Linked DNA regions of Caenorhabditis elegans. The protein of the gene in region 3 purifies or fractionates together with the protein of the main gene of each other region. This does not show direct contact. Each region holds a gene or a part of one and is shown on either strand. Other genes may lie near its edges. The genes, in order: rnr-1, exc-4 and cest-4.

Region 1 (3,757 bases), on a different chromosome or scaffold from region 3:
GAAACATGATAGAACATAAGCTGCGAACATTTTGTACTTGCCCACCTGAACTTCCATCAACTCCAATACCGAACCAAATCTTGACCCAAAAAGAAAATGTTCCGATTGTCCCACGTAATCTTCTTCTTTCGAAACCACCTCCACCTCCACCACCACCACTTCCGTCATTGATGCAGCCGAAGGATACTGTACAAATTCCGATGAGAAAACCTCCAACTGGCAGAAATTCCAAAAAAATTAAAACGTCTGCAGATTCGATTAGTCTTCCAAGGAACTTTACGTGAGATTTGGATATCTTTTATCTATTAATTACTTACAAAAGTTTATTTTCAGACATATTGCACATGTTGGTTGGAATGGTGCATCGGTACTTTTTGATAAGAAAATGACTGATGATCCGACTGTGAGGAAAATCTGTGATGCTGCTGCAGAGGCAGTTGATCTTAGTGTGAGTAACTTTCTTGAAAATTAGTAGAATATCTATAGAATTATAAAATTAAAATTCATTTATCTATTTTCAGGCGGTATACAATGTTGTCAACAAAAATGCGGATGAGGAGAGCCATAGCGTGGAAGTGCTCATAACTGGAGGATTAATGCAGTCAAGAGATGGAACATCTCGTCACTAACCATTTGAATATATCTGTGTCAAAATAAATTATTTATGTCATGTCTTGCATGCCAACAGATACGCGTTTTTCGAATTTTCGAAAATTCGCAATCACAGCTGGTGGTTTTTTATTGTCTGAATTGACCGACAGCAAATTTTAGTGATCTCTGACAAAACATCAGAAAATAAAAAACTACGCTTTTTTGTCCGCAGTTTGAAAATTTAAGGAAAAACTGAATATAAATATTATTTCATCGAAACATGTTTTTTTCTTTAAAAAATTACCGTACTCTTTCAAAGGCGCACGCATAAAGTTTTTAAATACAATATTTCGTGTCGAGACCATTACAGTAACCCGCGGCAAAATTGTGTTTTACAGCTTTTATTTTCGGGGTTTCTTCTGATCTTATGCATTTTTATGTGGTTTTATTTTGAATTTTACGTTTTTTTTTAAATTTCAGAGCAATGAAATGCGATTATCGGACTTGTCCTAAAGGGCGGAGCCATGGTTAGAGGCGGTGCTTGTGGTGCCGAAGGGTATAAATAGATTTTTTCCTCACACAGAAAACTAAACACATTTTTTGTTTAAATGAAATTCTTCAGCTGTGAATTAATATTTCATTTCAAACTGCCGTAGTTAGAAATGCTCAGGACCGTGGATTTTCGGTTTGAATTTCTAGGCCAATTTTGTGTGTTTCGACATTAGCTCACTTCTATCAGAAAACCATATTGAAGCCAGAATTCGTAGGAAAATATAATGTATTCTGTTTCACTGTAATACTTGTTTTTTCTATGAGACCAAGATTTCAATAATTCGTTTTCCTTTTGAATTTGAATTCCGATGGAGCGCGTTTGTTTGGTCTGCGTCTCGTTTTCGCGCGTTCCTCTATTACCTAGGCGCGAAAACTAGTAAATTTGAGATGAACTGGTCATTTGAAAATTCTCTCCGCTCCTCCATTTTCACTCTTTTCTTCTCAAATTGTTAATAATTCATCTTTTCCAGTTATGCAACGTTACAACAGCACTTATGTTGTCAAGCGGGATGGGCGAAAGGAAGATGTACACTTCGACAAGATCACTTCCAGAATTCAGAAGCTGAGCTATGGATTGAACATGGATTTTGTCGATCCGGTTTGTTATTAAACACAAGTTCAATGATGAATTAAATTTTCCAGGTCGCTGTTGCAATCAAAGTTATCAGTGGCTTGTACAAAGGAGTGACAACTGTTGAGTTGGATAATCTTGCTGCAGAGACTGCTGCTTCCATGACCACACAACATCCGGAATATGCTCTTCTTGCCGCTCGAATCGCCGTTTCGAACTTGCACAAGAAAACGAATAAGGTGTTCTCGGAAGTTATGAAAACCCTTCACGAGTTCCATCATCCTCATACCGGAAAACACGCACCAATGATCAGTGATGAGACTTGGGCTATCATTGAGAAGAATGCTGATGTTAGTTTTCCTAGGAATTGCATTTATTCAAAAAAATTTCATTTCAGAAGCTGAATTCCGCCATCGTCTACGATCGTGACTATTCCTACACCTATTTCGGATTCAAAACACTGGAGCGTTCCTACCTTCTCAAGATAAACAAGGAGATTGTCGAGCGCCCACAGCAGATGTTGATGCGTGTTTCTATTGGAATCCATGGAGATGATATTACTTCCGCAATCGAGACCTATAATCTGATGTCGGAGCGTTACATGACCCATGCGTCCCCAACTCTCTTCAATTCGGGAACATGCCGTCCTCAGATGTCTTCATGCTTCCTTCTGACAATGAGTGAAGACTCCATTCTCGGAATCTACGATACATTGAAGCAGTGTGCTCTTATTTCAAAAAGTGCCGGAGGAATCGGACTCAATGTTCACAAAATTCGCGCCACTGGATCTGTGATCGCTGGAACTAATGGAACATCTAACGGACTCATACCAATGCTTCGTGTCTACAATAATACTGCTCGTTATGTTGATCAAGGAGGAAACAAACGCCCAGGAGCATTTGCTATTTACCTGGAGCCATGGCACGCCGATATCTTCGAGTTTGTATCTCTCCGCAAGAACACTGGACCGGAAGAGGAACGTGCCAGAGACCTGTTCCTTGCTCTTTGGATTCCAGATCTCTTTATGAAGCGAGTCGAGAAGGATCAAGAATGGTCGTTGATGTGCCCATGTGAATGTCCAGGACTTGATGATTGCTGGGGAGAGGAGTTCGAAGCTCTTTACGCCAAGTAAGTATCTCCTGGTTCTTATTTTTTTAATTACCGAAGTGCGATATCCAGACAGAACTTTAAGAGTACTGCTTGGACTGAGTTTACTAACTTCGAATATGAAATAGTTGATCGATAACCGGAATATACTCAAAAAAAAAGGTGTGCTCCGGACAAAAATCAACTAACAAAAACTTTTAAACAGTGAAGTTAAATTTGCAAAGTTCATATCAAAATTTCCAGATACGAAGCCGAGGGACGAGTCCGCAAAACGGTGAAGGCCCGCAAGCTCTGGGAGCACATCGTTTCCAACCAAATCGAGACCGGGCTTCCATACATCACCTACAAAGATGCCGCCAATCGCAAGTCTAACCAGCAAAATCTTGGAACTATCAAGTGTTCCAACTTGTGCACTGAAATCATAGAGTACTCTGCTCCAGATGAGATTGCAGTTTGCAACCTTGCTTCCATTGCTCTCAATCGCTACGTGACCCCCGAGAAAAAGTTCGACTTCGTCAAACTGGCTGAGGTGACTAAAGTTATAACCAGAAATTTGAATAAGATTATTGACGTCAACTACTATCCAGTCGAGGAGGCTCGCAACTCTAATATGCGCCATCGCCCAATCGGGCTTGGTGTCCAAGGACTCGCTGATTGCTTCATGTTGATGCGTTACCCATTCACTTCGGCAGAAGCCAGAGATCTCAACAAACGAATCTTCGAAACCATCTACTACGCTGCATTGGAAGCCAGTTGTGAATTGGCTGAGTTGAATGGACCATACTCGACATACGAAGGATCTCCAGTATCGAAAGGACAGCTTCAATTTGATATGTGGGGAGTCACTCCAACCGATCAATGCGATTGGGCCACTCTTCGCAAGAAAATTGCAAAGTAAGATTAAAATACTCTTTCGAATCTGATTAAACTACTTAT
Region 2 (3,757 bases), on a different chromosome or scaffold from region 3:
GTTAGTGTCTAGTGTAGATGTATTTGTATCTTTCTCTTCTTCTTCTTCTACTTCTACACACTGCGGGATTTCCAAATTGGACATTTATTTGGGGGACGGTTTTCTCTGGGGTCTCTACACTCTCTGTTCGATCCGTTCGGGGGGTGTCTCGTCAATTAACAAGTTGCGAGACCATGTACCTGCTGACTTTCTGGACGATTTCATAATTTTTTTTCGATTTTTTTGGCATTTTTTATCAGAAAAATGTGTACTTAAGCCGTAAATCGACATAATTTTTAAAAGAGCCATTTTGGCATGTTGTTTCATTAAAATCTAATCACGAAATATAGAAATCGCAGAATCTAACCGAAAAACTTAATTTTACTTTAAAAAATTTTGCGAAGCAATTTAAATCTTTTACACGTGGTGTCAGACTGTCTCATTGCGGTTTGATCTATGAAAAATGCGGGAATATTTTTCCAGAAAATTGTGACGTCAGCACGCACTTAACCATGCGAAATCAGATTAGATGTCTGCGTCTCTTCTCCCGCATTTTTCGAAGATCAAAGCAAAATGAGACTTTCTGTGACTCCACGTGATTCTAATATTCTTTACCAAAAATATTTGTCACGGAATATAGAAAATGAGGTTTTCTAATTCAATATAGCTTTAATTCCAATTGAAAGGCTTTAGGAGGACATCTTGTCTGAAAATCGGGAGATTTCCCGCAATTTGCAACTTTCAGCTAGTTTTTTGCACACTTTAGAACTAAAATACCTCGTACCTTGTATTTTAGTTCAAAGTGTTCAAATCTCGTCTAAAAGTTGCGAATTACTGAAAAACCCCCCATTCCATTGCAATTACAATTACAATTTTTGTTACTAAAACCTTAAACCTGAAATTAAAATATATTTTTAGTAAGAAATATTGAAAGTAAATTCCACAATGGCTCATTTTTTATTACGGGAACAAGAAATTCTGAGAATGCGTACATCGCAACATATTTGACGCGCAAAATATCTCGTAGCGAAAACTACAGTAATTCTTAAAATGACTACTGTAGCGCTTGTGTCGATTTACGGAAATCGTTTATTAATTGATAGCGTATTAAAAGCACACTTTAAAAATAACACAGTAAAAAAAGCTACAGAAAATTGAATATCATTGTCTCGAAAGTCAGTCCCGTAAATCCACACACACAGAGCTACAGTAGTCATTTGAAGGGTTACTGTAGGTTTCGCTACGAGATATTTTGCGCGTCAAATATGTTGCGATGTACGCATTCTCAGAATTTTCTGTTCTCGTAATAGAATTTCCCCTGGAAACTAAAGTTTTCAAGCTATCTCGAACTTGCTTTGTATAATATTTTCTAGTAACAAAACAAAAAATTTCTTCAATTTCATTGAGAAATTCCCAGAAACAAATTTCCAGAAACATGCTAAAATCTGATGCTGAAATCCAAAAAAAGGTGTGGAAAACTCCCAAAACTAGCTATTAAATCTAAATTTTGAACATTCATTGGAAAATTAACAAATATTCGTAAAAAACGGATGTTGTTACCTAAAATTTCCAGTATTTACACCAATTGTCGTAAATATTTTCTCACTAAATTTAAAAATTCTCCATTTATTCGATATATATATATATCATTTACTATATATAAAGCGCTTATTCTGTGTGTCCATAGTTTGTAGTCTATGTGGTCTTTGTAGTCTGTGAAGTTTTGGCTTCTGGAGGGATAGTGAGTTAGGGTTAGTGTAGGGATATAGTCGGGGTACTGTAGTGGTACAATAGTGGTACGGTAGGAATACTGTAGGGTTACGGTAGTTTCATAAAAAATTAATTTTCAGCCCCAGAAGTCGGGGGCCGCGCCGAAGGTGCGGTCCACGGCTGGTATATATATATATATATACCAGCCGTGGTATATATATATATATATATTTAAAATATACACTAATTTTCTTCTGTTTCTTCCGGATTTATTGTGTTATCTCACCAAATTTTCCTCTCCAACAACCACCGCTAATTCCAGATATGGCAGAAGCTTACCAGATCCAATCAAACGGAGATCCCCAATCAAAACCTCTTCTCGAGCTCTACGTAAAAGCGTCAGGAATTGATGCTCGCCGCATTGGAGCCGATCTTTTCTGTCAGGAATTCTGGATGGAGTTGTATGCTCTTTATGAGATTGGAGTTGCACGAGTCGAAGTGAAGACTGTCAACGTGAATTCTGAAGCATTTAAGAAGAACTTTCTCGGAGCACAACCACCGATTATGATTGAAGAGGAAAAAGAGCTGACATACACTGATAATCGAGAGATTGAAGGACGGATCTTTCATTTGGCAAAGGAATTCAATGTTCCACTCTTTGAAAAGGATCCATCCGCTGAGAAGAGAATAGAGAACTTGTACAGGGTGAGTGTATGGAAGAAGAAGAAGCCCGGAAACTGTCGATTTACGCGGATCGTGTACTCCTCGTGGAAAAGATTCTGTAGTTTTCAGGGTTGTGGGGCACTTTTTTTTCACTTTTTCGTCAAAAAAATGAATTTTTAGTCTAAAATTGATATAGAAATATAGAAAACGGGTTGTTCTATTTGAAAATAACATTTACTTTTGTTGAAAATCTTGAAAAAGACCTCAAATAGTGCCTGAAAGTTGCCGTTTGCCGGAAAAGTGCCGTTAAAAGTTTTTAGATTAAAAAAACTGGGTTCTTTCAAAATGAAAATCCCTTTAATCACATACACATGAAAATAACATTAATTTTTGTTCCGTTTGCCGGAAAAAGTGCCGATTAAAGGTGATTTTCATTTTGAAACAACCCAGTTTTTTTAATCTAAAAACTTTTAACGGCACTTTTCCGGCAAACGGCAACTTTCAGGCACTATTTGAGGTCTTTTTCAAGATTTTCAACAAAAGTAAATGTTATTTTCAAATAGAACAACCCGTTTTCTATATTTCTATATCAATTTTAGATTAAGAACGAATTTTATTTTCCACGAGGAGTACACGATCCGCGTAAATCGAACGCCTAATGTGTTGATTTACGCGGATCGTGTATTCCTCGTGGAAAAGATTATCCAGTTTTCAGGGCTGTGCGGCACTTTTTCGGCAAAAAAATAAATTTTTAATCTAAAATTGATATAGAAATGTAGAAAACGGGTTGTTCTATTTGAAAATAACATTTATCTTTGTTGAAAATCTTGAAAAGCCGAAAAAGTGCCGTTAAAAGGTTTTGATGACTTTTTCAAGATTTTCAACAAAAATATATGTTATTTTCAACTAGAACAACCCATTTTCTACATTTCTATAAAAATTTAAATCAAAAAATGGATTTTTTGCGAAAAAATGCCTTGTACTCCACGAGGAGAACATTTTGCAGTTTTTGCTGATTTATAGTGTTTTCAGTGAAACAAAAATACATCATTTCCCCGGGAAAATTGAAAATTTTTGTTAGAAAAAGCGAAAAATACAAGTTTTTAACGAAAACTCTGAAAATTTCCGCGAAAAATATTTAATTCATCAATTTTCAACAGGGTTTCCCCACGAAAATCGTCAATTTTCGTAAAATTCTCGATTTTCTTTTGAAAATACCGAATTTTTACCGAAAAATAATCACTTTTCCGCCAAAAACTGCATTTTTTCAGAAATTTCTGGTTTTCTCACTGAAATGCAACATTTTGTCATTAAGTTATCGATTTTCTGATTAAAAATACCAAATTTCATAGAAAATATGAAAACTGCAATAAATTGATTTAAAATATTGATTTTCAGCAAAATC
Region 3 (3,757 bases):
AGAGTATTTCCCTACCTTAAATCATGGTTAATCTTCGAACTGAATGTTAGAATATTGACTATTGAACCTCCGTAGGAATGACCCATAATTGTATTTTTCTGGTTATTTCCTCCAAAATTGTGAATTTCATTCTTCACAAACTCGACGCCGAGTAGAATGTCTGAAATTAGTTTAGTAGCCTCAATTCAATTTTAATTGCAAATATATTTATACCATAAAGTGCCAAGTTTGTGGGAGCAATACTTTGATCTTCAACAACGAAATGAGAAAAAATGCCAAGACGGAAAGCAGGAATCGCAATTATTACATCTGAAAAATGTAAAATGTAAAATCAAGATGATTGATTTTCTTCAAGATTTTATGGAAATGTTGAAACAGTGAAAAATTAGACTCAGTGATAAAATTTTCTTTAACATATTTGCCAATAAACTTTAATTTTAAAACAGTTTCACAGTCACTATACCTTGGTTAACAAAAGTCCCAAGCAAATACGTATCATTAAACATTACAGCCGAGTCATACATGAGACCTCCTCCATGAAAATATGTAACAACTGCACAGTCTTTTGATTTCTGGAACATTATTATGTCTGGATATATTATGAGGAACAAAAGCTTACCAAACATTTATCAGAAGTGAAGATATTTATGTGAAGACAATCTTCATCAATCCATTTCTGTGGGCTTGTTGATACAGATGAATTTGATATACATGCTGGTCCGTACGCTGAAAATGGAATAAATTTGAATTGAAAAATTTGAAGGATTCATTTTCCGTGACAATTACTTGCATGATTAAAAATATCAATACTTCTATAACAAAGGTAATTGTGTCTAAACTACATCTGTAATACTCGTAGACTACTCGATGATCAGTTTTGCACGCAACACACTACAACAACGCGTCTGATACGTTGGGACATTTATAACAATTTTAGACACTGTGATCAGCTATGAAACTATTTTTGAAAAATTTGAAGTTTATTGGTATAAACATATATTAACGAAAGTATAAAATATAATTTAAATTTATTAAATTAAATGTTTTCAACATTTGAGTTTATTGACAAAGGCGCTGATGCAAGTTTTATCAAGTTTAACTATTTCTGAAGTTTTTGTATAGACTTATGAACATGTTGAAATATTGAAATATTTTAGGATATCATAAGAGACTATAAATTATTAGTGAAAATTTAGTTTAGATTTTCTAGACACGTTGAAACAGTCGAAAAATTTCTAGCAGTGAAAGAGAAAATCTTGACCATCTACTATATTTTTTGCAGATTTTATAACTGCAGTTCCTATTTCATTGTGTTTAGAAAATTTCGTTGAATTTCAGAAAATTTTTTATTTAACAAACAAACGTAAATTTTTCATGTTTTTCAGAGTAATTAATCTAATTTAATTTCAGAGTTTTCAACCATACCTTTTGCATTTCTCACTCCGGTCCATTTCTCAGGCGGTTCTGGTTTTTGAAATCTTAATTTTCCAATTGGTGGCTTTGCTAATGGAATATGTTTAAATAAATGGAAACTTCCAATTTGATCACCATCAATTTGCCCCAACGATGTAGAAACAATTGCAGATTTTGTAATTGAGAATAATAAGAAAAATGACAGAAACAGTAACAAATTATTCATAAGACCAGGAAGTAAAAGCATTCCTGAATCAATCAATGTCAAACACTAAAATTAGTTTGACAACAAAATTTCTTTTTTTTGAAAACTGATAATGTGTTTGTAGTCAAACATGAAGAATGACACATGTGAGACACAGACTGATAAACACTGTCTGAGCACAATCTACAATTTTAAGTGAATTTTCATTGTGACTTATGCTGAAAAATTACTGTTTCAGGAAAATACCTTCAGTTAAAATCTGTAGTAGTGTCAGTCTGGATATGTTTAAAGGTGGATACCGAAATGTGAGAATTTACTTTTTTAGACCCAAAATGATCCAAAACTACCAAATTTCGTAATGAGACGTTCTGAAAATTTTTCAAAAAAAAGTAATGGCGGCTCAAAGTTTTGGAAAAAATGGCCCATTTGTAGCTAAAATCTCAAATTTTGACAATTTCTCGGTGTCGCAGCAGTTGGAACTTAATTTTTATTTGATTATCATCCTTTAATATATGCTGTGCTCAAATGACCAAACAAACACATTAAAAAAATATTTTTTGAACTTTTGTATTTACAGTTGGTTTATCAAAAAACAATTTTATGAATTTTAATTCTAATTATGTTTTAATTATAGTACTTCTTCTATTAGTCTTGAACCCTTACGGACCAATTGAAAATTAATCTTGACTGCAAAACTTTTAAAAGAAATACGAAATTTGTATTAGATACTGTAGTAGTTTAAACATAAAAAAATACTATAATTTTCTCAAAATTTTTTTTTGAACATTTGGCCAAATGTCAAAACTTCAACTGAGAGTTTTGAAAACTCTCGACCATTTGTTAGTTCATTAAAGGTTAAGTAGAGCCAGTGTAGATTTTGTCTAAATACACTTAAAATATCCGAAATGACAGAATATCATATTAAAACATTTCGAACATTTTTAGTTTTATTTTTCAAAATATCCAGGCAAAGTTTTGGAAATTTGCCAAAATTTTGGAAGGAACAATCTCGAATGTTCCGACCTCTAGAATGTGTTAAAATCAATTATCAAAACAAAATTAATTAATTTAAAAAATCGTAGAAAAAATAAATTTTTGGTCGACTTCCAGAATTATGTGTATCAAAAACTCAGTTATTGCCACTTTTTGACAGTAATGGGGTTATTCAAGTAATGTAGCAAAATGTATTTAAATATATTTGTGACGTCACAAATGTATTTAATACATGTTTTTATATACTTGAATACAGTTGTGACGTAATTTTTCTGCACTTTTTAATTTTCCGACACTACTTGAATAACCCTATAAATAAAACATCTGCCTGTTTTTTTCAAAATTTTTAAATAATTAGTTTTTTGAGCCATTTCGAGTAGAATCATAAAATATATTGCTTCTGGAACTAAATTTATTTTTTTTCGCAGTACATGTGAAATTGCATTTTTATACTGATGTGAAGCAGTTGATTTTTTTAAAAGCTGTTGTCACATTTTTTTAACGAAATGTTGAACTTGGAACACGGCTGTAACATAAATTCTTTTCAAATCATTGATTTGATTCAATTTCTCTGATTTCCGATGTCCCAGTGTCATCTTTCCCTTTCTTTCAGTTTCTCTTTCTCTTTCACTCTAAACCTCTCATAAATCCATTCTATTTTCAACAAATGTTTCCCACAAAAACTCAAAAATTCAACATGTAAAACCGACGAAGGATGCGATGAAAATTAAATTAAATTTTCAAACGTATCTAATATTGGAAATACTTGTCGATTTTCTCTCAGTTTCCACAGATTTTTTTTCAGGAATTGGTGACTCATCTTACTCATATCTCTAAATCTCTTCATTTTAATGAATCTATCAATTTCACAGCAATCAAAAAAGAAGAATCATGTGTTGTCACCAGCATGCTGATGACACGAAAATGTTGTTTTCTCTTCCGTTATATTGACATTGATTGATTAAGATTCATTTGTGGTTTCTCTTTTTTTACCTTTTAAGAACCAATATTATAGTCTTAATTTGTCTTAAGGGGTTTAATTTTTTAGTAAAAACCAAACACTCTACCCAGCGAAACATTTTTCACCGAGCCAATATTTCAAGAATTTTCAATTTTTTACTGTTTCAAACAAAAATCAAATACTTA

The links.
Region 1: the proteins of cest-4 (region 3) and rnr-1 fractionate together in Caenorhabditis elegans (co-fractionation; one large-scale study listed by BioGRID). This does not show direct contact.
Region 2: the proteins of cest-4 (region 3) and exc-4 fractionate together in Caenorhabditis elegans (co-fractionation; one large-scale study listed by BioGRID). This does not show direct contact.

The regions. Positions count from the first base shown.
Region 1 is NC_003281.10:9,226,107-9,229,863, reverse strand, and holds the start of rnr-1 (Ribonucleoside-diphosphate reductase large subunit), read left to right. Parts: upstream 1-1,613; 5' UTR 1,614-1,615; coding exon 1,616-1,741; intron 1,742-1,785; coding exon 1,786-2,064; intron 2,065-2,111; coding exon 2,112-2,842; intron 2,843-2,889; exon of another isoform or gene 2,890-3,014; intron 3,015-3,064; coding exon 3,065-3,715; intron 3,716-3,757. Other genes in the region: T23G5.3 (uncharacterized protein), read left to right, coding at 1-280, 334-448, 522-629. UniProt on the Caenorhabditis elegans protein: Provides the precursors necessary for DNA synthesis. Catalyzes the biosynthesis of deoxyribonucleotides from the corresponding ribonucleotides.
Region 2 is NC_003279.8:14,516,972-14,520,728, reverse strand, and holds the start of exc-4 (Chloride intracellular channel exc-4), read left to right. Parts: upstream 1-2,009; 5' UTR 2,010-2,013; coding exon 2,014-2,394; intron 2,395-3,757. UniProt on the Caenorhabditis elegans protein: May insert into membranes and form chloride ion channels. Involved in the formation of the excretory canal. Required to prevent cystic lumenal expansions in the excretory cell.
Region 3 is NC_003282.8:6,800,600-6,804,356, forward strand, and holds the start of cest-4 (Carboxylesterase type B domain-containing protein), read right to left. Parts: upstream 1,739-3,757; 5' UTR 1,661-1,738; coding exon 1,426-1,660; intron 1,182-1,425; exon of another isoform or gene 1,158-1,181; intron 1,100-1,157; exon of another isoform or gene 1,079-1,099; intron 727-1,078; coding exon 620-726; intron 573-619; coding exon 464-572; intron 310-463; coding exon 214-309; intron 161-213; coding exon 16-160; intron 1-15.